Anolis sagrei: one gene and its partners. The protein of the gene in region 3 interacts with the protein of the main gene of each other region in a pairwise test. Links are inferred from orthologs where the notes say so. Each region holds a gene or a part of one and is shown on either strand. Other genes may lie near its edges. The genes, in order: FAM168A, DOC2A and UBASH3B.

What was found.
Region 1: the proteins of UBASH3B (region 3) and FAM168A interact in binary tests that used the Homo sapiens proteins (3 or more experiments, as listed by UniProt). The two-hybrid records come from large-scale screens. The link is inferred for Anolis sagrei from reciprocal best matches to the Homo sapiens genes UBASH3B and FAM168A.
Region 2: the proteins of UBASH3B (region 3) and DOC2A interact in binary tests that used the Homo sapiens proteins (3 or more experiments, as listed by UniProt). The link is inferred for Anolis sagrei from reciprocal best matches to the Homo sapiens genes UBASH3B and DOC2A.

The regions. Positions count from the first base shown.
Region 1 is NC_090023.1:5,979,592-5,990,576, forward strand, and holds the start of FAM168A (protein FAM168A), read left to right. Parts: upstream 1-6,455; 5' UTR 6,456-6,611; intron 6,612-10,985.
Region 2 is NC_090026.1:16,953,275-16,964,659, forward strand, and holds the start of DOC2A (double C2-like domain-containing protein alpha), read left to right. Parts: upstream 1-6,272; 5' UTR 6,273-6,378; coding exon 6,379-6,723; intron 6,724-11,385. UniProt on the Homo sapiens protein: Calcium sensor which most probably regulates fusion of vesicles with membranes. Binds calcium and phospholipids. May be involved in calcium dependent neurotransmitter release through the interaction with UNC13A.
Region 3 is NC_090027.1:35,711,545-35,722,601, reverse strand, and holds the start of UBASH3B (ubiquitin-associated and SH3 domain-containing protein B), read left to right. Parts: upstream 1-6,057; 5' UTR 6,058-6,331; coding exon 6,332-6,477; intron 6,478-11,057. UniProt on the Homo sapiens protein: Interferes with CBL-mediated down-regulation and degradation of receptor-type tyrosine kinases. Promotes accumulation of activated target receptors, such as T-cell receptors and EGFR, on the cell surface.

The DNA of each region.
Region 1 (10,985 bases), on a different chromosome or scaffold from region 3:
ACATGGAGGTTTTTAAACAGAGGCTGCATGGCCATCTGTCAGGAGGGCTTTGATTGTGTGTTCCCGCCTAGCAAGATGGGGTTGGACTGCGTGGCCCTTGTGAGTACATCCAAGATGTCACTTACAAGTTGGTGAAACTCATCAAGGGTAGTAGTTGCTTTACAATGAATTTACTGCCCCACTGACCTGGGATTCAATAGCAATGAGGTTCTGGAAGATGTAGTCCAAAGAACTCTCATCGCCAAGGGTTGATATTTGTTGTGGTCTTTTCGTCTTTAAAGGATGGCAATTTTCAGGTATTATCACAGCATCCTGTGCCAAAGTTGTTGCTCAAAGTATATAGTTCAGGCATGGGCCAACTTGGGCCCTCCAGGTGTTTTGGACTTCAACTCCCACCATTCCTAACAGCCGGTAGGTGGGAGTTGAAGTCCGAAACACCTGGAGGGCCCAAGTTGGCCCATGCCTGAACTAGTTGGTGTCTTCTCTCCCTTTGTACCAAAATTGAACTCGGCTTCTTCTTGTTTTCTTTAGTGCAGAATGAATCCTTAAGGGCTGTGCTTAAATATTTCATGCCTGTTGCTTTATTAAAAATTCACAAGAAGGAGGGTTTGTTGTGGTTGCTCAGTGTCTACAAGCTGCAGGATGGTGCGCTTTACTGATTGCGGTTTGTGTCCAGTGCTTTTGCTTAAAGGTTGGAAGGAGTGAGGCTGTGGAGCTGGTTTGTTTGGAGTAAACATTTGAATGGGGATTGCCAATCAAGCCATTTCTGATTTAGAGCAACGCTTTAGAGTAGTAGTTCTCAACCTTCCTAATGCCATGACCACTTCATACAGTTCCTCATGTTGTTCCCCAACCATAAAATTATTTTCGTTGCTACTTCATAACTGTAATTTGGCTACTGTTATGAATCATCATGTAAATCGTCATGTAAATACTGTTATGAATCGTCATGTAAATACCTGATATGCAGGATATATTTTCATTCACTGGACTAAATTTGGCATAAATACACGATACACCCAAATTTGAATACAGTTGGGGTTGGGGGAGGGATTGATTTTGTCATTTGGGAGTTGTAGTAGCTGGGATTTATAGTTCACCTACAATCAAAGAGCATTCTGAACTCCACCAATGATAGAATTGAACTAAACTTGGCACACAGAACTCCCACAACCAACAGAAAATACTGGAAGGGTTTGGTGGGCACTGACCTTGAGTTCTGGAGTTGTAGTTCACCTACCTCCAGAGAGCACTGTGGACTCAAATACTGATGGATCTGGACCAAACTTCTCCTAAATACTCAATACATTCAAACGTGAACACTGGTGGAGTTTGGGGGAAATAGACCTTGACATTTGGGAGTTGTAGTTACTGGGATCTATAGATCACCTACAACCAAAGAGCATTCAGAACTCCACCAATGATAGAATTGAACCAAACTTGGCACACAGAACTCCCACGACACACAGTAAATACTGGAAAGGTTTGGTAGGCATTGACCTTGAGTTCTGGAGTTGTAGTTCACCTACCTCCAGAGAGCACTGTGGACTCCAACAATTATGGATCTGGACCAAACTTAGCATAAATACTCAAGACATTCAAACGTGAACACTGGTGGAGTTTGGGGGAAACAGACCTTGACATTTGGGAGTTGTTGTTGCTGGGATTTATAGTTCACCTACAATCAAAGACAATTCTGAACTCTACCAGTGATAGAATTGAACCTATCTTGGCACACAGAACTCCCACAACCAACAGAAAATACTGGAAGGGTTTGGTGGGCATTGACCTTGAGTTCTGGAGTTGTAGTTCACCTACATCCAGAGAGCACTGTGGACTCAAACAATGATGGATCTGGACCAAGCTTGGCACAAATACTCAATACACCCAATACACTGGTGGAGTTTGAGGAAAATAGACCTTGACATTTGGGAGTTGATCAAAGACCATTCTGAACTCCACCAACTTTTCTCAGCTCTTGTTCTTCTATAGATGGTTATGGAAAGGGCAAAGCACTATGATAGTATCAAGGGGGTGTTTCATGTCAGGAAGTGGTTACTGTATTTTCTCTAAACCACCTTTAATTCTTCTCTCACTTTCTTGATTTGTATTTATTTAGCAAATTTGCTCTTTTCCCAGCAAGTGTGTACACAGAGAAGGGGAGGAGGAGGAGTGAGGAGAGAATACTTCTGGAACATGGCCATAAACCCCGAAAAACCTACAACATCCAAGTGATTCCAGCCATGAAAGCCTTTGACAATACATTGATTTGACTCTTTTTGTTGTTGCTCTCTGCTGCTCCCTAGAGGAGGCATGAGGAATTACTACCTGGAGGAAAAGACTCCCTTCCTGTCTCTTTATGGAATTCCTCCGCATTGAGTTTGTGTATATATTATTAATAAGAATACCAATAACAATAACAACTAATTCAACATCCCCTGGCTGTATTATTATTAACAATGCAACAACAATACCAATAATAAATTAATTCAACATCCCCTGGCTGTATTATTATTATTATTATTATTATTAATGCAACAATAATGCCAATAATAATAATAATAAATTAATTCAGCATCCCCCAGCTGTATTATTATTATTAATGAAACAATAACACCAATAATAATAATTAATTCAACATCCCCTGGCTGTATTATTATTATTTTATTATTAATGCAATAATAATAATAATAATAATAATAATAATAAAAATTCAGCATCCCCTGGCTGTATTATTATCATTATTAATGCAACAATAATACAAATAATAATAATAATAAATTAATTCAACATCCCCTGGCTGTATTATTATTATTATTATTATTATTGCAACAATAATGCCAATAATAATAATAATAAATTAATTCAGCATCCCCCAGCTGTATTATTATTATTAATGAAACAATAATACAAATAATAATAATAAATTAATTCAACATCCTCTGGCTGTATTATTATTATTATTATTATTATTAATGAAACAATAATGCCAATAATAATAATAAATTAATTCAACCTACCCTGGCTGTATTATTATTATTATTATTATTATTATTAATTCAACAATAATACCAATAATAATAATAATAACAATAAATTAATTCAACATCTCCTGGCTGTTTTATTATTATTATTATTAATGCAACAATACTACTACGAATAATAATACATTAATTCAACATCTCCTGGTTGTATTATTATTATTAATGCAACAATAATACCAATAATAATAACAATAAATTAATTCAACATCTCCTGGCTGTATTATTATTATTAATGAAACAATAATACCAATAATAATTATAAAGTAATTCAACATCCCCTGGCTGTATTATTATTATTATTATTATTAACACAACAGTAATAACAATACAACAGCAACACTGAAATCCTGAAGGTGTCCCCATCTCTCTTTCTTTAAAATCCTAGAATGCTTTGCCTACTACATCTCCCAGCATGCACCTTGCTCCGCTCAACCCTTCTCCGTTCTCCATCCAGATCAGTGACTACGTCCCCCAAGATGCATTGCGCTCCTTTCAGCGCTAACTTGAAGCGCATCCAGAGCCGCGGAGCATACTGGGAGGTGAAGTCCAATTACTGGTTCGCCCTGGCGAAGGATGAAGGAAAGAGTGCGACTACGTCCCCCAAGATGCATTGCGCTCCTTTCTGCGCTTACTGAAGTGCAATCAGAGCCGCGGGGCATACTGGGAGCCGAAGTCCTGTCGCTGCTTCAGTCTTGGCGAGGATGAACTGAAGAGACAGATACAAGAGTGCGACTACGTCTCCCAGGATGCATTGCGCTCCTTTCTGCGCTTACTGAAGCGCATCCAGAGCCGCGGCGCATACTGGGAGCCGAAGTCCAAGTCGCTGCTTCGCCTTGACGTATAGAAGTGTGTGACTACGTCTCCCAAGATGCATTGCGCTGCTTTCAGCGCTTACTGAAGCGCATCCCGAGCCGCGGGACATACTGGGAGCTGAAGTCCAGTCGCTGCTTCTATCTTGGCGAGGATGAACTGAAGAGATACAACGGATTTGAACATGAGGAAGAACTTCCTGACTGTGAGAGCCGTTCAGCAGTGGAACTCTCTGCCCCGGAGTGTGGTGGAAGCTCCTTCTTTGGAGGCTTTTAAACAGAGGCTGGATGGCCATCTGTCGGGGGTGATTTGAATGCAATATTCCTGCTTCTTGGCAGAATGGGGTTGGACTGGATGGCCCAGGAGGTCTTTTCTAACTCTTTGATTCTATGAATGACTTGAAGAGGCGAATACAAGAGTACTACTACGTCTCCCAGGATGCATTGCGCTCCTTTCTGCGCTTACTGAAGTGCAATCTGAGCCGCGGGGCATACTGGGAGCCGAAGTTCAATCTCTACTTCTCTCTTAACAGTTCGCCCTGAGGAGAACTTCCTGACAGCGAGAGCCGTTCAGCAGTGGAACTCTCTGCCCCAGAGTGTGGTGGAGGCTCCTTCTTTGGAAGCTTTTAAGCAGAGGCTGGATGGCCATCTGTCAGGGGTGATTGGAATGCAACATTCCTGCTTCTTGGCAGAGGTCTCTTCCAACTCTTTGATTCTATGATTCTATGAATGACTTGAAGAGGCGAATAGAAGTGTGTGACTACGTCTCCCAAGATGCATTGCGCTCCTTTCTGCGCTTACTGAAGTGCAATCGGAGCCGCGGGGCATACTGGGAGCCGAAGTCCAGTCTCTACTTCTGTCTTAACAGTTCGCCCTGAGAATGACTTGAAGAGGCGGATACAAGAGTGCGACTACGTCTCCCAGGATGCATTGCGCTCCTTTCTGCACTTACTGAAGCGCCTCCAGAGCCGCGGGGCATACTGGGAGCCGAAGTCCAGTCTCTACTTCTGTCTTAACAGTTCGCCCTGAGGAGAATGACTTGAAGAGGCGGATACAAGAGTGCGACTACGTCTCCCAGGATGCATTGCGCTCCTTTCTGCACTTACTGAAGCGCCTCCAGAGCCGCGGGGCATACTGGGAGCCGAAGTCCAGTCTCTACTTCTGTCTTAACAGTTCGCCCTGAGGAGAATGACTTGAAGAGGCGGATACAAGAGTGCGACTACGTCTCCCAGGATGCATTGCGCTCCTTTCTGCACTTACTGAAGCGCCTCCAGAGCCGCGGGGCATACTGGGAGCCGAAGTCCAGTCTCTACTTCTGTCTTAACAGTTCGCCCTGAGGAGAATGACTTGAAGAGGCGGATACAAGAGTGCGACTACGTCTCCCAGGATGCATTGCGCTCCTTTCTGCACTTACTGAAGCGCCTCCAGAGCCGCGGGGCATACTGGGAGCCGAAGTCCAGTCTCTACTTCTGTCTTAACAGTTCGCCCTGAGGAGAATGACTTGAAGAGGCGGATACAAGAGTGCGACTACGTCTCCCAGGATACATTGCGCTCCTTTCTGCACTTACTGAAGCGCCTCCAGAGCCGCGGGGCATACTGGGAGCCGAAGTCCAGTCTCTACTTCTGTCTTAACAGTTCGCCCTGAGGAGAATGACTTGAAGAGGCGGATACAAAAGTGCGACTACGTCTCCCAGGATGCATTGCGCTCCTTTCTGCACTTACTGAAGCGCCTCCAGAGCCGCGGGGCATACTGGGAGCTGAAGTCAAGTCGCTGCTTCTATCTTGACCAGGATGAACTGAAGAGACGGATACAAGAGTGCGACTACGTCTCCCAAGATGCATTGCGCTCCTTTCTCTGCTTACTGAAGCGCATCTAGAGCCGCGGGACATACTGGGAGCCGAAGTCCAGTCTCTACTTCTGTTTTAACTTCCTAACTGTGAGAGCCGTTCAGCAGTGGAACTCTCTGCCCCGGAGTGTGGTGGAGGCTCCTTCTTTGGAAGCTTTTAAACAGAGGCTGGATGGCCATCTGTCAGGGGTGATTTGAATGCAACATTCCTGCTTCTTGGCAGAATGGGGTTGGACTGGATGGCCCATGAGGTCTCTTCCAACTCTTCGATTCTAGGATTCATTGAATGACTTGAAGAGGCGAATAGAAGTGTGTGACTACGTCTCCCAAGATGCATTGCGCTCTTTTCTGCCCTTACTGAAGTGCAATCAGAGCCGCGGGGCATACTGGGAGTTGAAGTCCTGTCGCTCTTTCTGACTGAACAGTTCGCCCTGGCGAGGATGACTTGAAGAGACGGATTCAAGAGTGTGACTACGTCTCCCAGGATGCATTGCGCTCCTTTCTGCGCTTACTGAAGTGCAATCGGAGCCGCGGGGCATACTGGGAGCTGAAGTCCAGTCGCTGCTTCTGTCTTGGCGAGGATGAACTGAAGAGACGGATACAAGAGTGCGACTACGTCTCCCAAGATGCATTGCGCTCCTTTCTGCGCTTACTGAAGTGCAATCAGAGCCGCGGGGCATACTGGGAGACGAAGTCCTTCCCTCAGCGGCTTCTATCCGAGTCCGCCCTTGCCCGCCCCTGGTGGCGAGTGTCGGGATCGGCGTCGGGAGCAGCAGCCCTCCTCCTCCTTCTCCTTCTTCCTCACAAAGCTCCTCCAGCTTTCGGCCTGCCCGCTTCCCCCGGTTCTCCCCGCTCGGCGCCGGCTCTCGAGGGAGGAAGGAGCCCAAGAAGGAAGGAAGGAAGGAAGGAAGGTGAGGAGGGAAGGGAGGGAGGAAGGAAGGGGCCTGCTCCCAGCCCGGAGGTGGGGGTCTCCCTGAGGGGAGGAAAAGGGCAGGCCTGCCTGGCTGTGCTGTGCGTGTGTTTCAAGGGGGATTGTGAGTGTGAGTGTGTGTGTATTTGGGGTGAGTGATGAGGGGCCTGGAAAGGAAGGGGTTTTGTGAAGGGCCAAGAGGGCCGTGTGTATCTTGGGGGGTCTGTGAGGGAGAGGATATATGTCTATCTGTCTTTCTCTTTAGCTCTCCATCTGTCTATCTATATCTATCTATCTATATCTCTATCTCTATCTTTATTTCTCCATCTGTCTGTCTCTATCTATCTTTCTTTCTTTCTTTCTTTCGTTCTATCTATCATCTCTCTCTCTATCATCTCTCTCTATCATCTCTATCTATCTATCTATCTATAATCTCTCTCTCTCTCTCTATCATCTATCTATCTATCTATCTATCTATCTATCTTTGTATCTATCTATCTTTGTTTCTTTCTTTCGTTCTATCTCTCTCTCTCTCTATCATCTCTCTCTATCATCTCTATCTATCTATCTATCTATAATCTCTCTCTCTCTCTATCACCTATCTATCTATCTATCTATCTTTGTATCTATCTATCTTTGTTTCTTTCTTTCGTTCTATCTATCTATCTTTGTTTCTTTCTTTCGTTCGTTCTATCTCTATCTATCTATCTATCATCTCTATCTATCTATCTATCTATCTGATCTATCTATAATCTCTATCTATCATCTATCTATCTGTCTGTCTGTCTGTCTATCTATCTATCTATCTATCTATCTTTGTATCTATCTATCTATCTTTGTATCTATCTATCTATCTTTGTATCTGTCTATCTTTGTATCTCTCTCTCTCTCTCTATCATTCTATCTATCTACCAAGCTTGAAAACTCTGTTTTGTCTGTTTGTTAAAAATTTGTTTAAAATGTAATACAATTGCCTGGTTAATACTGACACGATAAATAAATACATTTTATCTATCTATCTCTATCTATCTATCTATCTATCTATCTATATCTATCTATATCTATTTATCTAACTCTGTCTCCCCATCTGTCTCTTCCTCTCTCCCTCCCTCTCCCTATTTCTATCTATCTATCTATCTATCTATCTTCGTATCTATCTATCTATCTTTGTATCTATCTATCTTTGTATCTATCTATCTATCTTTGTATCTATCTATCTATCTTTGTATCTATCTATCTATCTATCTATCTATCTGTCATTCTATCTATCTACCAAGCTTGCAAACACTGTTTTGTCTGTTTGTTAAAAATTTGTTAAAAATGTAATTCAATTGTTTGGTTGATACTGACACAATAAGTAAATAAATAAATAAATACTATCTATCTATCTATCTATCTATCTATCTATCTATATCTATTTATCTATCTATCTCTATCTCCCCATATGTCTCTCTCCCTCTCTCTATCTCTCTGTCTGTCCCTATCTATCTATCTATCTATCTATCTCTATACCTATCTCTCTCTATATATATCTACCAATCTCTATCTCTATTTCTCTATCTATCTATCTCTCCATCTGTCACTCTCTCTATATTTGTCTGTCTATCTCTGTCTCTATCTCTCCTCTTCTCTATCTCTATATCTCTATCTATCTGTCTATCTCTGTCTATTTCTCTCTATCTATATCTATACCTATCTTTATCTCTCTATCTATCTATATCTACCAATCTCTATCTCTCCATCTGTCACTCTATATATCTATCTGTCTGTCTATCTATCTCTATCTGTCTCTATCGCTCCACCTCTCTATCTCTATATCTATCTATCCATCTTTCTATTTCTCTCTATATCTATACCTATCTCTATCTCTCCATCTCTCTATCTATCTATCTATCTATCTATCTATCTATCTATCTTTCTATCTATCTATCTATACCTGTCTCTTTCTTTCTATCTCCTCATCTGTCTCTCTCCCTCCCCCCCCTCTATCTGTCTCTATCTCTCTCTCTCTATCTGTTTCTATCTACCTATATCTATACCTATCTCTATCGCTCTATCTGTCTCTATCTATCTATCTCTATCTATTTCTATCTACCTATATCTGTACCTATCTCTATCTATCTGTCTCTATCTATCTCTCTCTCTCTCTCTATCTCTATCTCCCTATATCTGTACCTATCTCTATCTCTCTGTCTCTATCTATCTATCTATCTATCTATCTATCTATCTATCTATATGTCTGTCTATCTATTACTATCTACCTATATCTGTACCTATCTCTCTCTCTATCTGTCTCTATTTATCTATCTATCTATCTATCTATCTATCTATCTATTTCTATCTATACCTATCTCTCTCTATCCATCCCTATCTATCTATCTATCTATCTATCTCTTTCTATCTACCTATATCTGTACCTATCTCTAGTATCTATACCTATCTTGCCATTATTTATGTGTAAACCGCTTTGAGTCCCCCCAGGGGTGAGAAATGTGGTATATAAATACTGCTAATAAGTAAATAAATCATAATATATATCTCTATCTATCTATCTATCTATCTACTATATCTACCAATCTCTATCTGTATTTCTCTATCTCTTTCTATCTCTCCATATCTATCTCTCTGTCTATTTCTCTCTATCTATATCTATACCTATCTTTATCTCCCTATCCCTCCATCTCTCTCTTTATCACTATTTCTATCTCTATTTCTCCATCTCTCTCTTTCTCTATAGCTATCTATCTATTTCTGTCTCTGTCTGTATCTCTCTATCTATATCTATATCTATCTCTCTATCAATTTCTATCTGTCTGTCTATATCTACCAATTTCTATCTCTATTTCTCTATCTCTCCATCTGTCCCTCTCTATATAAATCTCTCTCTCTCTCTGTCTCTATCTCTGTCTCTATCTCTCCATCTCTCTCTCTCTCTCTCTGTCTGTTTCTCTCTATCTATATCTATACCTATCTTTATCTCTCTATCTCTCCATCTCTCTTTATCACTCTTTCTCTATCTCTCCATCTCACTCTCTGTCTCCTTCTCTCTATCTCTATCTCAGGGGTCCTCAAACTAAGGCCCAAGGGCCGAATATGGCCCTCCAAGGTCATTTACCCGGCCCTCACTCAGGGTCAACCTAAGTCTGAAACAACTTGAAAGCACACAACAACATCATCATCATCATCATCAACAACAACAACAATCCCATCTCATCAGCCAAAAGCAGGCCCACACATAGACACTGTATGTTGTTGTTCATTGGTTCAGTCGTTTCTGACTCTTTGTGACCTCATGGACCAGCCCATGCTAGAGCTCCCTGTCGGCCGTCACCACCCCCAGCTCCTTCAAGGTCAATCCAGTCACTTCAAGGATCCCATTGAAATACTAATAAGTTTATATTTGTTAAAATTATTCTTCATTTTAATTATTGTATTGTTTTAAAGTGTTTTCTGCACTACAAACAAGATATGTGCAGTGTGCATAAGAATTCATTCATGTTTTTTTTTCCAAATTATAATCTGGCCCTCCAACAGTTTGAGGGACTTTGACCTGGCCCTCCGTTTAAAAAGTTTGAGGACCCCTTCTCTATCTGTATTTATCTCTATCTATCTATCTATCTATCTATCGGGTTCTCTGGTTGTGCAGCAGGTTAAACTGCTGAGTTGCTGAACTTCTGAGCGAAAGATTGGCGGTTTGAATCTGGGGAGTGAGGTGAGCTCCTGCTGTTAGCCCCAGCTTCTGCCAACCTAGCAGTTCAAAATGTGGGTAGATCAATAGGTACTGTTTCAGCAGGAAGGTAAGGGCGCTCCTTGCAGTCATGCTGGCCACATGAGCTTGGAGGTGTCTATGGACAACACCGGATTAGAAATGGAGATGAGCAACACCCCCCAGAGTTGGACACTACTACATTTAATGTCAGGAGAAACAGTTACCTTTACCTATATCTCTTTGTCTATCTCTATATATCTATCTGTATATCTCTTTCTGTTGATAGATATCTATATCTATCTCTGTCTCTATATATCTATATCTGTATCTGTCTATCACTATCGCTGTCTCTATTCATCTGTCTATATCTATCTATATTTCTCCCTCTTTCTCTATATCTATGTCTGTCTAGCTATATCCATCTGTCTATATCTGTCTATCGCTGTCGTTATCCATCTGTCAATATATATCTATATCTATACCTATATATCTATATCTAAATCTATCGATCTATATATTTATCTATCTCTATCTGTATCCATATCTCTACAATCCCCAATCTAATCTAGTATAATCTCTCTCTACTTATCTCAGTCTAACTATCCATAAACTGTCCCTATCTATATAGATGTATCTATATAGATCTATATCTCTGTCTCTATATAT
Region 2 (11,385 bases), on a different chromosome or scaffold from region 3:
GAGAAAAGGGGAGCTGTTTTCATTTTCCTCCTTATTATTAATTTCTCATGTTTCAGAAAGATGAATGCCCAACATCCTCTTAAACAGGAGCTGGGGAAAACTTTTTCTTGGTCTCCAACTTCTAGAATCCCCCACAAAAATGAACTTTTCCAATCTTGTATTAATGCATTTATTATTTATTGTTATTGCATCTTGTTCTGCCTTTGCACCGAGAAAGAAAGAAAGAAAGAAAGAAAGAAGGCACATAAAAGAGCTAACAAGAACTAAAAACAAATTGGAGTGGGAAATATAATAAAAATTAGTGCAGTAATGTAAAGAAAAATGAGGTGGTGCGAGTGCTTTACTAAAAAACAATGTCATGCTGATAGTTCATAACATAGGGATAGGAATCATACAGCCCTAGAGATGTTGCTGGATTGGAATTCCCAGCCACCTTTGGTTTGTCTTGGTGGAAGCTTATTTATTTATTGTGTCAGAAGCAAATTGAGGGTACAATTGTAATGTATTTAAAAACACAAAGTTAAAAACTTGGCATTATACTATATTTTATTTATTTCATATCAAAAGCATTGCCTAAATTAGTATTAAACTGATTTTAAAAATAGAAGGAGCACAAGTGGTGAAATATCTTTTGACCTAAAATGGGCAACAGCAACTGCATTGTCGGTAGCCTCCAACAATTCTTCCTCTGTACATGAGGCAGGACTTTGCAGACAAGCATATAGATGCAGAGTCATCTGTTCTGCTCCACAATTGCACAAGGTGGAGGATTCTTTTAGTGCCGTTTTGCCATGTTGTCTTTTTTTTTTTTTTTTGCCCACTCCACTTCTGAGTCTGTTCAGGAACTTCCAAGTTGCCCATTTTTTGTTTGCCCCCGAAGGAAGACCCTTGTGGGGGGCCATCCAGTTGGGACTTCCTGGTTTGGCTGCCCAGAGGGATACTCTTGCTGTTGCTGGGGGAATGTTAAGAGGAGTGTTGGTTCTCATGACGCTTTCCCTTGATTTGAGTCTATTGGAAGGAGGTTGATAGCCATGCAGTGGATGGCTTTCACAGGGTTTGACCTTATTTTTCTCACAGTTAGCAGCAATTTCCCATCGCACATCTGGGGGCAATATCTGCTAGCTTGTAGAGTTTATCAACAGGTGTAGGTTTAAGACATCCTGTGATTATTCTGCATGTTTCATTCAATGCTATGTTCACCTGCTTCGCATGGGGCAGACTTGTGCCAAACAGGGCAGGCATACTCGGCAGTTGAGTAAGACAAGGCCAGGACTGGTGTTCTTATTAATTTTAGGTCTGCTCCCCATGTAGCTGGCCGCTTATAGTGTCTCTGGTGTTGCTATAAGGAATTCCTCCAATGCAGGGCTCAGGCTGCATTGTAGTAAGGGGTCTGTGGTTTGCTCTCCTCCACACTCGCATATCGTGGACCACAATTTGTGGCCCCCTTTCTTAAGGTTGGCTCTGCATCTCGTGGTGCCAGAGCCCAGTCTATTCAGCACCTACCATGTTGCCCAAGTCTTCTGTGTGCCCAGGAGGGAGTCTCTCATTCCATATCAGAAGTGACTTGCAGCATGCTGGAAGCTGTAGTCTTAACAGTATTCATGTTTCTCTTCCACCAGTTCTATTGTCTAAAGAAGCAAGGAAGCCTTCTCCCATATGCTCCACCATTTAACAGAGAGACATATGCAACCAAGCAAGATCATGGTGTGGTCAAAATGGCTAAATACAACTTTTCTTAACTTGGGGGTCAGGACCCCTGGGGGGGGGGTCACAAGAGGGTGTCAGAGGGGTTGCAAAAGACTATCAGGAAACACAGTATCTTTTGTTGGTCATGGGGGTTCTGTGTGGGAAGTTTGGCCCAATTCTATCATTGGTGGGGTTCAGAATACTCTTTGATTTTAGGTGAACTATAAATCCCAGCAACTACAACTTCCAAATGCCAAGGTCTATTTTCCCCAAACTCCACATTTGGGCATATTGAGTATCTGTGCCAATGATGGTTCAGATCCACCGTTGTTTGAGTATACAGTGTTCTATGGATGTAGGTGAACTACAACTCCCAAACTCAAGGTCAATGCCCACCAAACCCTTCCAGTTTTTTTTCTGTAGGTCATGGGAGTTCTGTGTGCCAACTTTGGTTCAATTCCACGTTGGTGGAGTTCAGAATGCTCTTTGATTGTAGTTTAACTATAAATCCCAGCAACTATGACTCCCAAATGACAAAATCAATCCTTCCTCAACCCAACAGTATTCAAATTTGGGCATATTGGGTATTTGTGCCAAATTTGGTCTAGTGATTGAAAATCCATCCTGCATATCAGATATTTACATTATGATTTGTAACAGTAGTAAAATTACAGTTATAAAGTAGCAATGAAAATAATGTTATGGTTGGAGGCCACCACAACATGAGGAACTGTATTAAGGGGTAATGGCATTAGAAAGATTGAGAACCACTGGGCTAAAGTTAGCAATGAAGAAGCACACAAACCAGAATAGGATGCAGCAGTTTGCTTTTGCCTCACTTGGGAAGGACAAGATGTTGCCTCCCTTCTCCTCTGCTCCTTGCTGAGGCTGGATTCTCAAGGGATGAAGATCTTGGGGTGCATCTACACCAGGCATGGGCAAGCTTAGGCCCTCCAGGTGTTTTGGACTCCAACTCCCACCATTCCTAACAGCCTCAGGCCCTTTCCTTTTCCCCCTCAGCCGCTTAAGCGGCTGAGGGGGAAAAGGAAGGGGCCTGAGGCTGTTAGGAATGGTGAGAGTTGGAGTCCAAAACACCTGGAGGGCCAAAGTTTGCCCTTGCCTGATCCATACCAAATTAAGTTTGACACCATAATTGCCATGGCTTGATGGGAATTATAGTTCAGTGAAGCACCAGCACCCACCAGCAGACAAGACCTTATAAAACTACAACTCTCAGGATTCCATCACATTGAGCCATCACAGATAAAGTGGTATTAAACTGCAACTACTCTACAGTGTAGGTGCATCCTTAGGTTCGTAGCAAGATTAAAGCCAACTCCTGCTCAGAAAGCAAGTACAAACCACTGAGTGTATCAGTCAGCCCCACTTGCCAAGAAACTTCAGATTTCTTGGCTCCGGCTCGCCTTGCCTGATCCAAACCCAGGTTTATCTATTTGACTAACGCCGAAAATGTCATTCAACAGCATATGCGGCATCACAAATATTTCCTGGTCTGGAATAGGTCCAGGACAAAGTTGCCATAGTAACAGTGGGGAGGGAGATGGGGAAGCGCATGGAAGAAGGGGAAGAAAAAAACTTCAAGCCCCAAACTCAAGGGATAATATTTTGCCAGGCAACTTCAAACATGTTGTCTGTTTTTGGAGACTGGGCTTGAATCTCAAGAAAAGGGAAGTTCAGATCTTCTGGCCTTGGGAGACCCCAAAGGCTGGAGGCGCATTGAGTTAGGATTATAGGACTTCTTAGTCAAAGCAGTATCTCCGTGCTTAAAATCATATATTGCCTTCGATAACTTCCTTATGGATGGGGCTCCGTTAATTTCCCTTGGTGTGTGTTTACACTGTGAAATTAATGCAGTTTGACAGTACTTTAGCTACCATGGCTCAATGCTATGAAATCACGAGAGTTGTAATTTTACAAGGTCTTTAGCCTTCTCTGCCCAACAGTGCTATTGCCTCACCAAACTCGGAATTTCAGAGCACTGAGTCATGGCATTTAAAGTGGTGTTAAACTGCATTAATTTTACTATGATTCAAACCCTGCAATGTGTGAAATCCCTCCTGATTTAGTTCAGACGCTTCGCCTTTTTGCATGTTGAAAAGCCTTCCAGAAGAGCAAATGATGTGTTGTCAAAGGCTTTCATGGCTGGAATCACTGGGTTGCTGTGAGTTTTCCGGGCCATGTTCCAGGAGCATCCTCTCCTGATGTTTCACCCACATCTATGGCAGGCATCCTCGGAGGTTGTGAGGCCTGTTGGAAACTAGGCAAGTGGGGTTTATATTTCTGTGGAATGTCCAGGGTGGGAGAAAGAACTCTTGTCTGTTGGAGACAAGTGTGAATGTTGCAATTGAATGTTTACTGCTGTTATGATGGAATTCGCCCTGAGTCCCCTCGGGGAGATAGGGCAGAATACAAGTAAAGTTTTATTATTATACTAGCCATCCCCTGCCATGCGTTGCTGTGTATATGTGTTTTGTGTGTGTATATTTGTGTATATGTGTGTTTATATACATCTATAAATATAGGTTGTGTGGTTTTGCACATGTGTTGTAATTTAAATTTTGTTTTTTTGACTTTTAAAGTCTCTTCTGCTGTGTTTTTCAGTGTTTTTATGAATGCTGGTCACGCGTTGGCCTGATAAGTAGGTTGTGTCCAAATTTGGTGTCAATTCATCCAGTGGTTTTTGAGTTATGTTAATCCCGCAAATGAACATTACATTTTTATTTATATAGATTATTTATTATTATTCATTTGCCACCTTGATTAGCATTTAATAGCCTTGAAGCTTCAAAGCAGACTAAACAGAGAAACCACTGAAATCCACAAGGATGTGGACAATTCCAACAGAATGGAGGAAACCATGAAAATGAAAAAAAAAATCTGGCTAACAGTATTAAAATACTTTAAAATCAGGACAGTAAATAAAGAGCAACACTCAGAAAACAGGGGAATTCCAGACAGGAAACAATCAGGGCCAGCTGACACCTCCCAACAAAGGTTCTCCCCAGGCAGCAACCAGCCAGGCTTTGAAGCTACAAGGCCATTAAATACTAAGGTGGCCAATTGCAACAATCACACTTGCCTCAAGCAGATAAGAGGGGTTTTTTCTCCCACCCTGGACATTCCACAGATATATAAACCTCACTTGCCTAGTTTCTAACAGACCTCACAACCTCTAATGGCCTTGCAGTTTCAAAGCCTGGCTGGCTGCTGCCTGGAGGATCCTTTGTTGGGAGGTGTTATCTAGCCCTGATTGATTCTTCTCTGGAATGCCCCTGCTTTTTGAGTGTTGCTTGTATTTACTGCTTGTATTTACCAGATAGCCAGATTTTGTTCATTTCATGGTTTTCTCCTTTCTGTTCAAATTGTCCACATACTTGTGGATTTCAATTGCTTTTTTCTGTAGTCTGCTTTGAAGTTGCAGGGCCATTTAATGCCAATTGCAACATTCACACTTGCCTAAAACAGAGAAGAGTTCTTTCTCCCACCCTGGACATTATTCACAGATACAGGCCCGTAGCCAGGATTTTGATTCGGGGGGTGGGGGGGCTGAGTTTGATTCGGGGGGGGGGGCTGAGTCTGAGTGAAAGAGGGTCTACCCTAGCAAACCTTTTGTTACCCCAATACCCCCATGCATATGAGATATACTGAGCATGGTGATCAGAGCATGATATGAATAAACATAACAGTTTAAATAATGTACCAGTAAGGCCTTTTCGCAGACCACCATGGGAATTTCGGAGGGGGGGCTGAAGCCCCCAAAGCCCCCCCCCCCCCCGGCTACATGCCTGCACAGATATATAAACCCCACTTGCCTTGTTTCCGACAGACCTCACAACCTCTGAGGATTCCTGCCATAGATGTGGGTGAAATGTCAGGAGAGAATGCTTCTGGAACATGACCATAAAGTGCAGAAAACTCACAGCAACTCAGAGAAAATGATGTTTCTGAGCAAAGTTGAGTCCCGTCAAATAACCTTTTCCTATAAAAAGAGTAAATGATTTCTCAGACTTATTTTTTCCATCATCTGCATTACCGTCCTGCTTCTGTGTCCACCTCTAGACATTTTCCCTGCCATCACCATTTCTACAAATACAGTCAGCCTCCTTTACTTTTTCCTATACAGTCTCAAGGGTTCACTCCTTATACCTTTTCACCCAGCTTTCAAGCAACTGCAGTTTTCTTTTTCCTGTTCATCCATCCATCCATCTACAGGAAGAGAGAGACTCCAATCTAATCCGCATCCGATCTTTCTCTTCTGTGCAATTCATTCCATTTGTGGCTATTTCGGACTGCATCTTAATGCAGTTTCTTTCTCTCTTCCCTCTCCCTTCCCACTTTTGCATGCAAAAAAATCGCCACCCACCCGAAGCCCAAGGGATAAGGCAGGATCAGTCAAAATGCATAATCTGGTCCTCTCTCATCCTTCCCTTGGGTCCATTGAAAGAAAGAGCTTGTGCTGTTTGACCCAGCCTTTTGCTACATATATTTAATCTAACATTGCAGATCAAGATTCCTGTTCAGTCCCCTTTATATTGTTTTAAATCTACCCACAGCCTTGATTATCAGTTGGGATCATCAGCTTTTCCCCCCTCCTTCTCTACAGCTCAAATGGGCATCACAAACAGGCGCATCGCATAGGAACTGTGCCACAAATGTACACTTCCAGGATCGATGTCACAGTTGTACAGAGCCATCCTTTATCAGCTGTGGTCTAATCTAATCTATGTATTGCAAATCAGATCTCAGCACCCTCCACCACCAGCACCCCCCTTTCTCTTCTCTATTGTCTCCACCTCCCTGCCTGCAACCCCCTTCTTCTCTGGCACTCTCTCTTTCTCCCTCCCTCTTTCTCTCTCTTTCTCTCTTTTTTCCTCCCATCCCTCCTTCCCTCCCTCCCTCCTTCTCGCCTGCTCTATCTCTCGAAGTCTTTGGGATCCCCCCAATCCACAGTCTCTGTCATTCGCTGTTGCACCTTACCCCTCCCTGCTGTTACCTGTTGACACGACCAGCACCCAGGTAGGAGTTGGGGGTCCCAAGGGGGGATGAGGAGGGAAGGTGGAGTCAGCACTTTGTGGAGACAGGGATTTCTATGGAGAGTTTGGGGGGAAACAAGTTGTCTGGAGGGGAAAGAGGAAAGGATCAGAGTTTCTTTGCAAAAGAGGGGGACTTGGAAGAGTTGTTTCAGAGGTTTCGTCCTATATGTCTGTGGGCTTAAGGTGTTTCAGAGTATTGTGGCAATTTGGGAGAGATTGCTTGGGGAGGATGCGAATGGTAGGTTTTTTGGATATAGTTGTGGGGATGTGTGGGGCTAATAAGTCACAGAGTGGGGCTAATAGGAGTAAAGGGAGGGTGACAGTAGGTAAAGGTGTGCTTCTTCATGTATGGGGCAGATTTGGTTGATCTACCCAAAGTGGGATGGGAATAATGGGTTTTTGGATGTCGTCGTGGGGATGTGTGGGGCTAATAAGTCACAGAGTGGGGCTAATAGGAGTAAAGGTGGGAAGACAGTAGGTAAAGGTGTGCTTTTTCATATATATGGGGCAGATTTGGTTGATCTACCCAAAGTGGGATGGGAATGGTGGGTTTTTTGATGTAGTTGTGAGGATGTGTGGGGCTAATAAGTCACAGAGAGGGGCTAATAGGAGTAAAGATGGGGTGACAATAGATAAAAGTGTGCCTCTTCATATGTGGGGCAGATTTGGTTGATCCACCCGAAGTGGAATGGGAATGGTGGGTTTTTGGATGTAGTTGTGGGGATGTGTGGGGCTAATAAATCACAGAGTGGGGCGAATAGGAGTAAAGGTGGGGTGACAGTAGGTAAAGGCATGCTTCTTCAAATATGGAGCTTTGGGGCAGATTTGGTCAATGCACCCAAAGTGAGATGGAAATGGTGGGTTTTTGGGTGCAGTTGTGGGGATATGTGGGGATAATAAGTAACAGAGTGGAGCTAATCGGAGTAAAGATAGGGTGACAGTAGGTAAAGGTGTGCTTCTTCATATATGGGGCAGATTTGGTTGATCCATCCAAAATGAGGTGGGAATGGTGGGCTTTTGGATGTAGTTGTGGGGATATGTGGGGCTAGTAAGTCACAAAGTGGGGCTAATAGGAGTAAAGGTGGGGTGACAGTAGGTAAAGGTGTGCTTCTTCATATATGGGGCAGATTTGGTCGATGCACCCAAAGTTGGATGAGAATGGTGGGTTTTTGGGTGTAGTTGTGGGGATATGTGACGATAATAAGTAACAGAGTGAGGCTAATAGGCGTAAAGGTGGGGCGATAGTAGGTAAAGGTGTGCTTCTTCATGTATGGGGCACATTTGGTTGATCCACCCAAAGTATCAGAGAAGGAGGCGATGTGATGTGTTTTGTATATTTGGATATCCTGGGGGAGAAGTTGGCATGGAGAAGAAACAGGTGCCAGGGAGTTAGAGGAGATCTGCAACATGCATCCATACATCTAAGTTCATTGCGGGGCAAGGAATAGAAAACAGCAATAGTCGGAAGGGATGGATTGATCAAAAATTGATTGATTGAAGCAATATCCTTTCAAAAGTCAAATTGCCATTCGCTCTCAATCTCATTCGGGGAGAGGGGCGGATGTGGTGGGACTCAATTGAGCAAAGTCGTTCTTTTAATAGTGGTTAATATTCCATGGTAATCAATTAAAAATAAGTGTCTCATGAATGCTGATGTCCAGATAAACTGTTGTATCAAAAGGCTTTTCAGCTCCCAGCAATGAATTTCCTTATTGAGTTGTAATTGTCTCTCTGCACCCCCAGCAAGCAGAAAAGGAAGGAAACAAGAGGGAGAGAGGGAGGGAGGGAGAACAGCACAGAAAATGCATGCCGCTTGTTCTGCCTATATATCTACTAGAGTTGGGAATTTTACTGTTTGGGTTTTTGCCAGATTGCATTGATTTGCGGATGTTTTAACAAATGCTGCGTTGACTGTTAATTTCAAACGTGTTGTGTTGTGGTTGTTTAATTTAACTCAATTGAAGTACAACTGTGTACACATTTTACTCAAGAAGTAAACTCCAATGAGTGCAGACAGTTCAAAATAGTTCCGATTTTAGTGGTGTTAAAGTGGTGTCAAACTGCATGTGTACAGATGCACCCATAGAGACAGCCAGTGTATTTTGGGGTTAGATTACTACATGCCCCCCCCCCAGTGGTGCAGTGGGTTAAACTGCTGAACTTGCTGACTGAAAAATTGACAATTTGAGTCTGGGGAGTGGGGTGAGCTCCTGTTGTTAGCCCCAGCTTCTGCCAACCCAGCAGTTCAAAAACATGCAAATGTGACATCAATAGACACTGCTTCGGCGGAAGGTAACATCACTCCATGCAGTCATGCCAACCATATGACTTTGGAGGTGTCTATGGATAATGCCGGCTCTTTGGCTAAGAAATGGAGATGAGCACCACTCTCCAGAGTTGGACACGACTAGACTTAATGTCAAGGGGAAACCTTGTATGTCACTGTTTATTGCTTGTTTTTGTTTATGTGATTTATATGATTTGTATTGTATTGATTGTTTTATTTGATGTTTTTTTATTGATGTATTGTGGGCTTGGCCTCATGTAAGGCGCACCGAGTCCCTTGGGGAGATGGTAGCAAGGTACAAATAAAGTTATTATTATTATTATTATTATTATTATTATTATTATTTACCTTTATGTTTTATGGAGAAAGGACCTTGCATTATTTATTTTTCTCATAATGGCACAACTTTTAGCTTGTGGCAAATTCATGGAATAGGACACATTTTTAAAACAGTGGGCAGCAGGAAGCCAAATTCCACATATCGTTTCTGCAGATGTGATTAGACGTACACTGATGGAAGAGCAATCCCACCACTAATTGACACTATTCAATCTGAGAACAGCAGAAAGTCTCCTCACTATGACAAATACTGAAGCAGTCCAAAACTGGTCACCTGTGAACACCTGTGGCATGCGAAGGGAAGGTTCACGTCTATGAACAAAAATAGTACGCATGGCTGCGCAGGACACAGTAACCAAACAATCCTTTCTGTATGAGGAAATCAAAATGCATTTAGGGGATTTTTCTTTTGGGGTGGAGGGGAAAGATGACAGAGTGGGGAATATGACAACAGGTTGTGCACAATGTGGAGGAAGTGCGGAGAGATCTGATGCCCAGCTGCTTCCTCCCAGATCTTTAAAACTGATGTGTATGAGATTCCAGACAGCAAAAAGTATCTGAACTCTACATGCCATTAATGGATTGAATTCAGCGACTTGAAGATAGAGACAGCAGTCATGGGCTTAGATATCTTTAAAAGGAGATTAAACCATTTAGGGCACTTAGATCTATAATCCCTCCAAGAATGGACTCCAGCAGCAAGTGCTGATAGAAATAGAGCCGAAATGGAGTTACTAAGACAGAATAGGGACGTATCAGTGTGAGGCAGGGAACGTCCAGGTCCGGAAATCTTTTGGAACCACTCAGTGGGATTCAGCGAGCTCAGTGGATTGTTGAATGCCGGTTTAAGTCTTAGGGTTTGTGTATGGAATGGAGTATCCAGGAAAAGGACTGAAACTGGACTTGGAAATAGAGCACTTCCACTAGGACCGTGGTTCTCAACCTTCCTAATGCCACGGCCCCTTAATACAGTTCCTCATGTTGTGGTAACCCCCAACCATACAATTATTGTCATTGCTACTTCACAACTGTAATGTTGCTACTGTTATTAATCGTAATGTAAATATCTGATATGCAGGATGTATCTTCATTCACTGGACCAAATTTGGCACAAATACCCAATATGCACAAATTTGAATACTATTGGGGTTGGGGAAGATTGATTTTGTCATTTGGGAGTTGCAGTTGCTGGGATTTATAGTTCACCTACAATCAAAGAGCATTTTAAACTCCACCAACAATGGAACTGAACCAATCTTGGCAGACAGAACTCCCATGACCAACAGAAAATGCTGGAAGGGTTTGGTGGGCACTGACCTTGAGTTTTGGAGTTGTAGCTCATCAACATCCAGAGAGCACTGTGGACTCAAACAATGATGGATCTGGACCAAACTTGGCATGGATATTCCATATGCTCAAATATGAACACTGGTGGGGTTTAGGGAAAATAGACCTTAACATTTGGGAGTTGTAGTTTCTGGGATTTATAATTCACCATCAATTAAAGAGCATTCTGAACTCCACCAACAATGGAATTGAACCAAACTTGGCACACAGAGACTAACAGAAAATATTGGAGGGGTTTGGGATGAATTGACAGGGATTTAAGGGAGATGTAGTTCATGTACATCCAGAGAGCACAGTGAATCCAAACAACTATGACAAAGGGATTCCTAAGACCATCAGAACTATGTGTTTTCTGATGGTCTTGGTGACCCCACTGAAACCCCCTATGACCCTCCAAGGGGTTCCGACCCCCAGGTTGAGAAACACTGTCTTAGGGTTTGTTTACGGAATGGAGTATCCAGGGAAAGGATTGAAACTGAACTTGGAAATGAAGCACTTCCACTAGAGGTGGGATATGACAACATTATGTTGCTAGTTTCACTTTGTTGATGACTTTTACTTGTTGCAACACCATACTAACTTCCTTTCATATTGACAAGGAATTTCACTTCCATTGACTATTCCCTGCTAAGAGGTACAGTGTGGGTGATAGTCATCCTCATCGTGTCTTGC
Region 3 (11,057 bases):
AGACATGATGCTTCCATTGCATCAACTGGAAGCATGGACTTTAGTCTCAGGATCATTGTATTGGACCCAGCTTTCATCCTGTGTGAGCAGTCTGTTGAAAATGTCCTCCTGGTTTCCATGGCACATCATCAATAGACCTGAGAGCATTCGTCCCATTCCTGCTTCTGGAAAGGTGTGAGCAGCTGAGGGACCCAGCGAGCGGATACCTTATGCATGTGAAGATTGCCTTGGATGATTTTTTTTTCATGGACTCCACACTAATCTTGACATTTTGGGCTAGGTGGCAAATGGTTACGCGGCGATTTTCCAAAATGGCAACCTCCGCTTGCTGGATGGCATGTTCATCAGTAGCAGAATGGGGTCACCTGGAATTGGAGCTGTTTCCACTGAAGTCCAATCACATTTGAATTGATGATGCCAGTTCTTGACTACTTCTTATGATGGGGAATCATCACCATAAACCTCGTTCATCTCATCGAACGTCCCCTTTGGTGTGCAGCCTTTAAAGTCAAGGAACTTGAGGACTGCTCTGTATTCCACTGGGTTTATTCTCAAACCTCACACCACTTCAGCACCTGCAAAATCAAGACCGTTATCAGTTCTGAGTTGTAAATTGGCACGTAACCTATAGAGACTTATAGCATTACACATGTGCTCTTTCAGCATCCTGTAATGCAGTGGTTGTCAACCTTCCTAATGCCGCGACCCCTCAATAGAGTTCTTCATGTTGTGGTGACCCTCAACCATAACATTATTTTTATTACTGCTTCATTACTGTTATTTTGCTACTGTTATGAAGCATCATGTAAATATCTGCTATTCAGGAAGTATTTTCATTCACTGGATCAAATTTTGCACAAATATCCCCCAAGATGCCCAAATTTGAATATTGGTGGGGTTGGGGAGGTTGATTTAGTTATTTGGGAGCTTTAGTTGTTGGGATTTATAGTTCACCTACAATCAAAGAGCATTTTGAAATCCATCAATGATGGAATTGAACCAAACTTGGCACACAGAACTCCCATGACCATCAGAAAATACTGGGTTTAGTGGGCACTGACTTTGAGTTTTGGAGTTATAGTTCACCTACATCCAGAGAGCACTGTGGACTCAAACAATGGTGGATCTGGACCAAACTTGGCACAAATACTCAATATGCCCAAATGTGAACACTGGTGGAGTTTGGGGAAAATAGACCTTGAAATTTGGGAGTTGTAGTTGCTGGGATTTATAGTTCACCTACAATCAAAAAGCATTTTGAAATCCATCAATGATGGAATTGAACCAAACTTGGCACACAGAACTCCCATGACCAACAGAAAATATTGGGTTTGGTGGGCACTGACCTTGAGTTTTGAAGTTATAGTTTACCTACATCCAGAGAGCACTGTGGACTCAAACAATTTATTTATTTATTATTTATTTATTTATTAGATGCACTTATTGACCGCCATTCTCAGCCCTTACGGGCGACTCATGGCGGTGTACAGTACACATAAAAAGACAGTTACAGAGGCCAGTATCAACAACATATGACTATACAACAATGGTGGATCTGGACCAAACTTGGCATGAATACTCAATATGCCCAATTGTGAACACTGGTGGAGTTTGGGGAAATAGACCTTGAAATTTTGAAGTTGTAGTTGCTGGGATTTATACTTCACCTACACTAAAAGAGCATTCTGACCTCCACCAATAGAATTGGGCCAAACTACCCACACAGAACCCCCATGATCAACAGAAAATACTGTATTTTCTGATGGTCTTTGGAGACCTCTCTGACACCCCCTCGCGACCCCCTCCCCAGGGGTCCCAACCTCCAGGTTGAGAAAGCTGCTGTAATAAATAGAAACGGGCCAGGGGAAATCTTTAATGGATGCCTCCAGCTCTCCCAGTTTGTCCCAGTTAATCCTCTGTCCTCCCACACTTTCACCTACTTTTAAAATGCACCACTATTGTTTATCAGAGGGAATACCTCTGTAGGAATCTCAAGGTTCTCCAGTGAAACTAAAAGTTGGCCATAGAGTTGAACTGGAAGAGATTCCTTAGTTAAAGAGGAATCATAATGCTGTAACTGTGCAGTGTGGAATGGCCACAGACTGGATCCAGGCTCCCTCAAAAGAGAAACCCTTTCAATGATCCAGAGTATAATAGGCTAGTTGAGAAAACAGTGGGCTCTTGTTCTTTGGGGGTTTTAAAAAGAGAGGTTAGGTGGCCACAGCTTGGGGCTGCTTTAGCAATGGATTCTTGCACTACTGGTTGGACTAGATTGCAGTCCTCTCAATCCCGAAGTCCATGCTGTAGGACCTTTTAGTAAACATACATGTGTCCTTTGCTAACAGCAGCCTTGAAGGCATGGAGTTGCAACCAGTGAATGTAATAATTTCAGCTCTGCATCTCTGCATTTGTGATGAATGGAGTGAGGTCTATATACATACATGAACGCAGAAGACTATGACTCTGGAGACCAGAGTTCAAATTCCATGGATCTTGGGCAAGCCTCCACGAAAGGCAAAGTTAACCCACTTCCAAACAAATCTTACCAATAAAACTCCATGGTAGGTTCACCTTAGAGATGTCAACAGCGTGAAGGAATACAACTATCCAATGGCAGCAGATGGAGACACTGGAACAAGAATTATATCAGTTGAATGGATCAAATCTGCTAGGCTTTTTTCATACTACACAATTATGGCATTTTGATACTGCTTTAACTGCATTGCACTGGCTTCATTCAACGGATAACTAGAGTGAGGGACATCATGTATATCTAGGTAAGGTAGTCCCCTGACATTAAGTCCAGTCATGTCTGACTCTGGGGTGTGGTGCTCATCTCCATTTCTAAGCCGAAGAGCCAGCGTTGTCCGTAGACACCTCCAAGGTCATGTGGCCGGCATGACTGCATGGAACGCTGTTACCTTCCCGCCGGAGCGATACCTATTGATCTACTCACATTTGCATGTTTTCGAACTGCTAGGTTGGCAGAAGCTAGGGCTGACAGCGGAAGCTCACGCCGCTCCCCGGAATTGAACCTGCGACCTTTCGATCAACAAGCTCAGCAGCTCAGTGCTTTAACCCACTGCGCCACCGGGGGCTCCTGTATATCTATATAAATAAAAATGTAATGTTTGTTTGTGGGATTAACATAACTCAAAAACCACTGGTCGAATTGCTGCCAAATTTGACCACAAGACACCTACTAACCCTAGGAGTGATCATCACTCAAAAAATTGATTTTGTCATTTGGGAGTTGTAGTTGCTGGGATTTATAGTTCACCTAGAATCAAAGAGCATTCTGAACTCCATCAATGAGTGGATTGGATGAGGAGGGTTGTATTTTGCTGCCAGCTGGGAACACCTTCAGCCAAAGATGAATTATTATTGTTGTTGTTTTTACTATTGTTATTCAGGAGGAGGTAGAGGGTGCCTGACCTGGGTTGGATGAGGTGGGATGTGTTTGTTGCCAGCTGGGAACACCTTCAGCCAAAAATGAATTATTTTTGTTGTTACTGCTATTCAAGAGGAAGGCAGCGGATGCCTGACCTGGGCTGGATGAGGTGGGGTACCTTTTGCTGCCAGCTGGGAACACCTTCAGCCAAAAATGAATTATTTTTGTTGTTACTGTTATTCAAGAGGGGTCAGCGGATGCCTGACCTGGGCTGGATGAGGTGGGGCACCTTTTGCTGCCAGCTGGGAACACCTTCAGCCAAAGATGAATTATTATCATTATTATTGTTGTTGTTGTTAGTATTGTTATTCAGGGGGGAGTGAGAGGTGCCTGACCTGGGTTGGATGAGGAGGGATGTGTTTTGCTGCAAGCTGGGAACACCTTCAGCCAAAGATGAATTATTATTACTACTATTACTATTATTATCCAGGAAGAGGGGGATGGAGGGTGCCTGTATTGGGCTGGATGAGGTGGGGTGCATTTTGCTGCCAGCTGAGAACACCTTCAGCCAAAGAAGATGAACTATTATTATTATTATTATTATTATTATCCAGGAGAGAGTTGGAAAATGCCTGACCTGTGTTGGATGAGGTGGGATGTGTTTTGCTGCCAGCTGAGAACACCTTCAGCTAATGAATTATTATTATTATTATTATTATTATTATTATTATTATTATTATTACTATTACTATCCAGGAAGAGGGGGATGGAGGGTGCCTGGATTGGGCTGGATGCGGTGGGGCACATTTTGCTGCCAGCTGGGAACACCTTCAGCCATAGATTATGAACTATTATTATTATTATTATCATCATCATCATCATCCAGGAGAGAGTTGGAAGATGCCTGACCTGGGTTGGATGAGGTGGGATGTGTTTTGCTGCCAGCTGAGAACACCTTCAGCTAATTATGAATTATTATTATTATTACTATTGCTATTATTATCCAGGAAGAGGAGTATGGAGGATGTCTGGATTGGGCTGAATGAGGTGGGGCACATTTTGCTACCAGCTGGGAACACCTTCAGCCATAGATTATGAACTATTATTATTATTATTATCATCATCATCATCCAGGAGAGAGGTGGAAGATGCCTCACTTGGGTTGGATGAGGTGGGGAACATTTTGCTGCCAGCTGGGAACACCTTCAGCCAGAGATGATGAATTATTATTATTATTATTATTATTATTATTATCCAGGAGAGATGTGGAAGATGCCTGACTTGGGTTAGATGAAGTGGGATGTGTTTTGCTGCCAGCTGAAAACACCTTCAGCTAATGATGAATTATTATTATTATTATTATTATTATTATTACTATTACTATTGCTATTATTATCCAGGAAGAGGGGAATGGAGGGTGCCTGACTTGGGTTGGATGAGGTGGGGTGCATTTTGCTGCCAGCTGGGAACACCTTCAGCCAGAGATGATAAATTATCATCATCATCATCATCATCCAGGAGAGAGTTGGAAGATGCCTGACTTGGGTTGGATGAGGTGGGATGTGTTTTGCTACCAGCTGAGAACATCTTCAGCTAATGATGAATTATTATTATTATTACTATTGCTATTATTATCCAGGAAGAGGGGGATGGAGGGTGCCTGGATTGGGCTGGATGAGGTGGGGTGCATTTAACTGCCAGGTGAGAACACCTTCAGCCAGAGATGATGAACTATTATTATTATTCACACCTAGCTGCAGCAGGGAAGAGCTCTTTGCCCCACCCCAGCCATTCCACAGATATATAAACCCATTGTCCTAATTCCAACAGACCTCACTACCTATGAGGATGCTTGCCATAGATGCAGGCGAAACGTCAGGAGAGAATGCCTCTAGACCATGGCCATATAGCCCGAAAAAACCCACAAGAGCTTATTATTATTATTATTATTATTATCATCATCATCATCATCATCATCCAGGAGAGAGTTGGAAGATGCCTGACCTGGGTTGGATGAGGTGGGATGTGTTTTGCTGCCAGCTGAGAACACCTTCAGCGAATGATGAATTATTATTATTATTACTATTGCTATTATTATCCAGGAAGAGGAGTATGGAGGATGTCTGGATTGGGCTGGATGAGGTGGGGCACATTTTGCTGCCAGCTGGTAACACCTTCAGCCATAGATTATGAACTATTATTATTATTATTATTATTATTATTATCATCATCATCATCATCATCCAGGAGAGAGGTGGAAGATGCCTGACTTGGGTTGGATGAGGTGGGGAACATTTTGCTGCCAGCTGGGAACACCTTCAGCCAGAAATGATGAACTATTTATTATTATTATTATTATTATTATTATTATTATTATTATTATTATTATCCAGGAGAGAGAGAGGTGGAAGATTCCTGACTTTGGTTGGATGGGGTAGGATGTGTTTTGCTACCAGCTGAGAACATCTTCAGCTAATGATGAATTATTATTATTACTATTGCTATTATTATCCAGGAAGAAAGGGATGGAGGGTGCCTGGATTGGGCTGGATGAGGTGGGGCGCATTTTGCTGCCAGTTGGGAACACCTTCAGCCAAAGCCAAGCTTGGAGAGAAAGGAGGGAGGAGAGGAGAAGGCGGAGAAAGCAGGAGGAGGAGGAGGAGAAGGAGGAGGAGTGCCTTTGGCAGCAAGCTGGTCCCCTCCTTCCCCAGGAAGCCGCTTCTTGCATCAGTGCGCCCTCGCTGCCTCCCAGTTGCCTTCCTCCCGCCTCCAGAGAGAGAGACAGAGAGAGAGAGAGAGAAGGGGAATTGCGCCCTTGGAGAAGCAGGGAAAGAGGAGGAAGAGGAGGCGGCGCTCTGAGCCTTGCAATGGGCTCCCTGTCCGGATGATCGTGTGTGGGGCTGTGGAGCCGGACCCACGCCTGGGCCCCTGACCCCAGCTATGGCTGCTGCAGCGGCTGCCACCTCCCGAGCGGACCTCTACAGCCAAGTCACCCCTCGGAGGACCCGCCAGCCCCGGCCGGGCACCATCAAGCACGGCTCCTCGCTGGACATCCTCCTCTCCATGGGCTTCCCCAAAACCAGAGCGTAAGTGGGGCTCAGGCCGAGGGGGACATGCTGACGTGTGCCTCGGGGTCTCTCTCTGTGGGGTGACTTCTCTCTCCCGGTGCCTGCTTTCCAAAAGAGAGGATGCAGAAAGAGGATGCGCTCGCCTCCGCGCCTTCCTTCACCCACGGGCGATGTCTGCCTCCCTCGGGGGTCCGGGTGTGTGTGTCCGTGGGCCTGGGGCTGGGCTAGAGATGCTGTGTTGCGATGGCGGGGAGAGAGAGGCAGCTCTGGATGGAGGAATGTCCCCATCATCCGCCTTGGCACGCAGCGGGAGCGCGCGGCTGGGCTGACGTCTTCCCTGCCATTCATTGGGGGCTCATCCGGGATAGGTTTGGGGTCCAGGAAGTCCAAAAGTAGGGCTGGGTTGTTGCTTTCCCACACAACACAGGGCAACCCTTGCCTCTTGAGTCTGGGCCTCGCCATCCAGAGCCTTGGAGAGGCAAAGATCCTTGGAGAGGCTGTGCGTTGGGCATTTGGAGCTTGTGAGAGGTCTGTGGCCACTTCACCCCAAAGCAGACTGTCCCCAAAGCCTTAGGGCGGATGGGAAGAAGGAAAGTGACACTGAGAGAGAGGGGAGACCCTCTGTGTAAGAATGGGAAGCTTTGAATAGCTGTCCTCCTGCTTCTTGACCAGAGCCAGGCATCCCTTGAAATAAGGATCACTTGGGGTCAAGGCAGGCAGTCCAGCAGCTCCAGAATACATTGTGGAAGGCTTTCATGGCTGGCATCACTTTGTTGTGAGTTTTCTGGGCTGTCTGGCCATTGTGTCTAATTCTGGGCACTACAATTGAAGAGAGATATTGACAAGCTGGAATGTGTCCAGAGGAGGGCGACTAAAATGATCAAGGGTCTGGAGAACAAGCCCTATGAGGAGCAATATATTGTCGTAGGCTTTCATGGCCGGAATCACTGGGTTGTTGTAGGTTTTTTCAGGCTATAGCCCGAAAAAACCTACAACAACCCTATGAGGAACAGCTTAAAAAGGTGCATGTTTAGCCTGAAGAAGAGGAGGCTGAGAGGAGTCATGATGAGGGTCATGTATAAATATGTGAGAGGAAGTCATAGGGCGGGGGGAGCGAATTTGGATGCGGAACAATGGCTTCAAACTACAAGGAAGGAGATTCCATCTGAACATTAGGAAGGACTTCCTGATTGTGAGAACTGTTCAGCAGTGAAACTCTTTGCCCCGGAGTGTGGTAGAGGCTCCTTCTTTGGAAGCTTTTAAACAGAGGCTGGATGGCCATCTGTTGGGGGTGCTTTGAATGCAATTTTCCTGCTTCTTGACAGAATGGGGTTGGACTGGATGGCCCATGAGGTCTCTTCCAACTCTAGGATTCTATGTTCCAGAAGCATTCTCCCCTGATGTTTCACCCATATCTATGGCAGGCACCCTCAGAGGTTGTGAGATCCCAGCAGCTAAGACTTCCTGCTCCATGTCTTTTGCATGGACCAGATCTCCCTTGTGGTCTCTTCCAACCCTAGAGTTGGAAGATACCACATGGGGCATCCGTTCTGAAGTTGCTGTGAGTTTTCCAGGCTATCTGGCTATGTTCCAGAAGCATTCTCTCCTGATGTTTCACCCACATCTATGGCAGGCATCATCAGAGGTTGTGAAATCCCAGCAACAAAGCCTTCTTGCTCCATGTCTTGCATGGACCAGATGGCCCTTGTGGTCTCTTCCAACTCTAGAGTTGGAAGATACCACATGGGGCATCCATTCTAGAACTGCTGTGAGTTTTCTGGGCTCTCTGGCCATGTTCCAGAAGCATTCTCTCTTGATGTTTTGCCCACATTTATGGCAGGCATCCTCAGAGGTTGTGTGGTCTGTTGTCAACTGGGATTGGCAGACTTGAGAGCAGATATTGTCCCAACTTTACTGGGATAATCCTTGGGACTGAGCCGCCAGGGATCTTTGCCATGCAAAACATGTGCTCCGTCAATGACTCCCTCCAAACACAGCCCCAGACCATGGGTGTGGCATGTGTGTACACGCCTTTGCATCACCTATGTCGTTATGGCAACCCCATGAATTTTCATAGAGTTTTCTTAAGCAAGGAATATTGAGAGGTGGCTAAGTCATTACTATTCCTCTGAAATGTAGCATTCATTGACTGTCTCTCATTCAGGTTCTAACTTTGTCTTCCCAACAGTGCCAATGGTATTGCTTATATTATTATTATTATTATTATTATTATTATTATTATTTGATACATAACAAGATTCGTATACAGCAAACAAGATCACTGTGCTGGCTTTTGTATTCGCTCACATGTTGGACACTTTGCAAGTGTTTAGGACTGTGTGATGTATTGGTGAATAATGTGTGCAGATCCAAGTAGGGTGGCCCTTTGCAGCTGACAGATGATAATTTTGTCAGTGCCTATTGTTTTTAAGTGCAGGCCAAGGTTTTTAGGCACTGCACCCAGTGTGCCGATTACCACTGGAACTACCTTGGCTGGCTTGTGCCAGAGTTTTCTTCTTCTCCTTCTTCTCCTTCTTCTTCTTATTGTTTTTAAGTGCAGGCCAAGGTCTTTAGGCACTCCACCCAGTGTGCCAATCACCACTGGGATCACCTTGACTTGCTGGTACCATAGTCGTCGTCGTCGTCTTCTTCTTCTTATTATTATTATTATTATTTGAAACACAACAAGATGAGTCCACAGCAGACAAGATCACTATGCTGGCTGTTGTTTTGGATCACACGTCAGACACTTCCCAAGTGTATAGGACTGTGTGATATATCAGTGAATAATGCGTGACGATTCCAGTAAGGTGGCCTTCTGCAGCTGGCAGGTGGTAATTTTGTCAGCGCCGATTGTGTTTAAGTGCAGGCTAAGGTCTTTAGGCACTGCACCCAGTGTGCCAATCACCACTGGGACCATCTTTACTGGCTTGTGCCAGTTATTATTATGCCAGCCTCTGCCCCGGAGCATGGTGGAGGCTCCTTCTTTGGAAGCTTTTGAACAGAGACTGGATGGCCATCTGTCAGGGGTGATTTGAATACAATATTCCTGCTTCTTGGCAGGGGGTTGGACTGGATGGCCCATGAGGTCTCTTCCAACTCTTTGATTCTATGATTCTGTGATGATGATGACGACGATGATGACGATGATGATGATGATGATGATGATTATTATTATTATTATTATGCCCCTCTTTTTTTCCCCACAAGGAGACTCAAAATAAATCCTCAAAACTGGCTGCACTCCAGTGTCCTAACACCAAAATATGCCAACCTCTGAACTGTTTGCTTCACTTACCTGGGTATCAAAGAAAGCTTCTCCTATTTATTTTCTGTGAGCCAAACAGCTGCTAAGGATGCAGGGGTGCAGAGGTTTTTAAATAAAGAGTAACCTCAGTCGGCTTGGGTTTTTATGTTTGGCATCTGAACTGTCGAATAAAAATATGACTTCATGGAAGTCCTCTGCTTCTATTGCATCTGGCAGCTCAGAGGGGAATTGGTCAGGCTTGGCATTTCCTTTCTATATACCATATGTCATTATCATGTGCCCAATGGGACTCTGTGTTTGTATGTTCAAGTTGCCTGTTGACTTACGATGCCCTGAGGCATTGCATAGGGTCTTCTTAGGCAAGGGTAGTTTTGCTTGTTCCTCCACTGGTGAAATAGCCTCAGGATAAAGACAGCCAACAAATACCAGATGCTGTAGGGTATATTTCAGAGGAAGGAACTTGCAAAACCACTTCTGAGCATTCCTGGCTTAAGAAAACCCTAAAATCCATGGGGTCACAGACAACTCAGAGGCACACCCATCTGGTATTCATTGGGAGGGGGTCTCTCATCCAAGCATTAACCAGGACGGCATCTGATATCGTTAGGGAAGTGTTTCTCAACCTGGGGGTCGGGATCCCTGGGTGGGGGGCTGCAAGGGTTGTCAGAGGGGACACCCCCTTGAGAATCAGAAAATACAGCATTTTCTGTTGGTTATGGGGAAGTTTAACCCAGTTCTATCATTAGTAGGGTTCAGAATGCTCTTTGATTGTAGGTGAATTATAACTCCCAACAGTTACAACTCCCAAATGTCAAGGTCTGTTTCCCCCAAATTCCACCAGTGTTCACATGTAACCAATCTAACCATATTGAGTATTAATGCAAAGTTTAATCCAGATGCATCATTGTTTGAGTCCACAGTGCTGTCTGGATGTAGGTGAACTACAACTCCAAAACCAAAGGACACTGCCCACCAAACCCTTCCAGTATTTTCTATTGGTCATGTGAGTTCTGTGTGCCAAGTTTGGTTCAGTTCCATTGTTGGTGGAGTTCCGAATGCTCTTTGATTGTAGGTGAACTATAAATCCCAGCAACTACAACTCCCAAATGTCAAGTCTGTTTTCCACAAACTCCACCAGTGTTCACATTTGGGCATATTGAGTATTCATGCCAAGTTTGGTCCAGATCCATCATTGTTTGAGTCCAGAGTGCTCTCTGGATGTAGGTGAACTACAACTCCATCATTGGTGGAGTTCAGAATGCTCATGGATTGTAGCTGAACTATAAATCCCAGCAATTACAACTCCCAAATGACAAAATCACACACACAT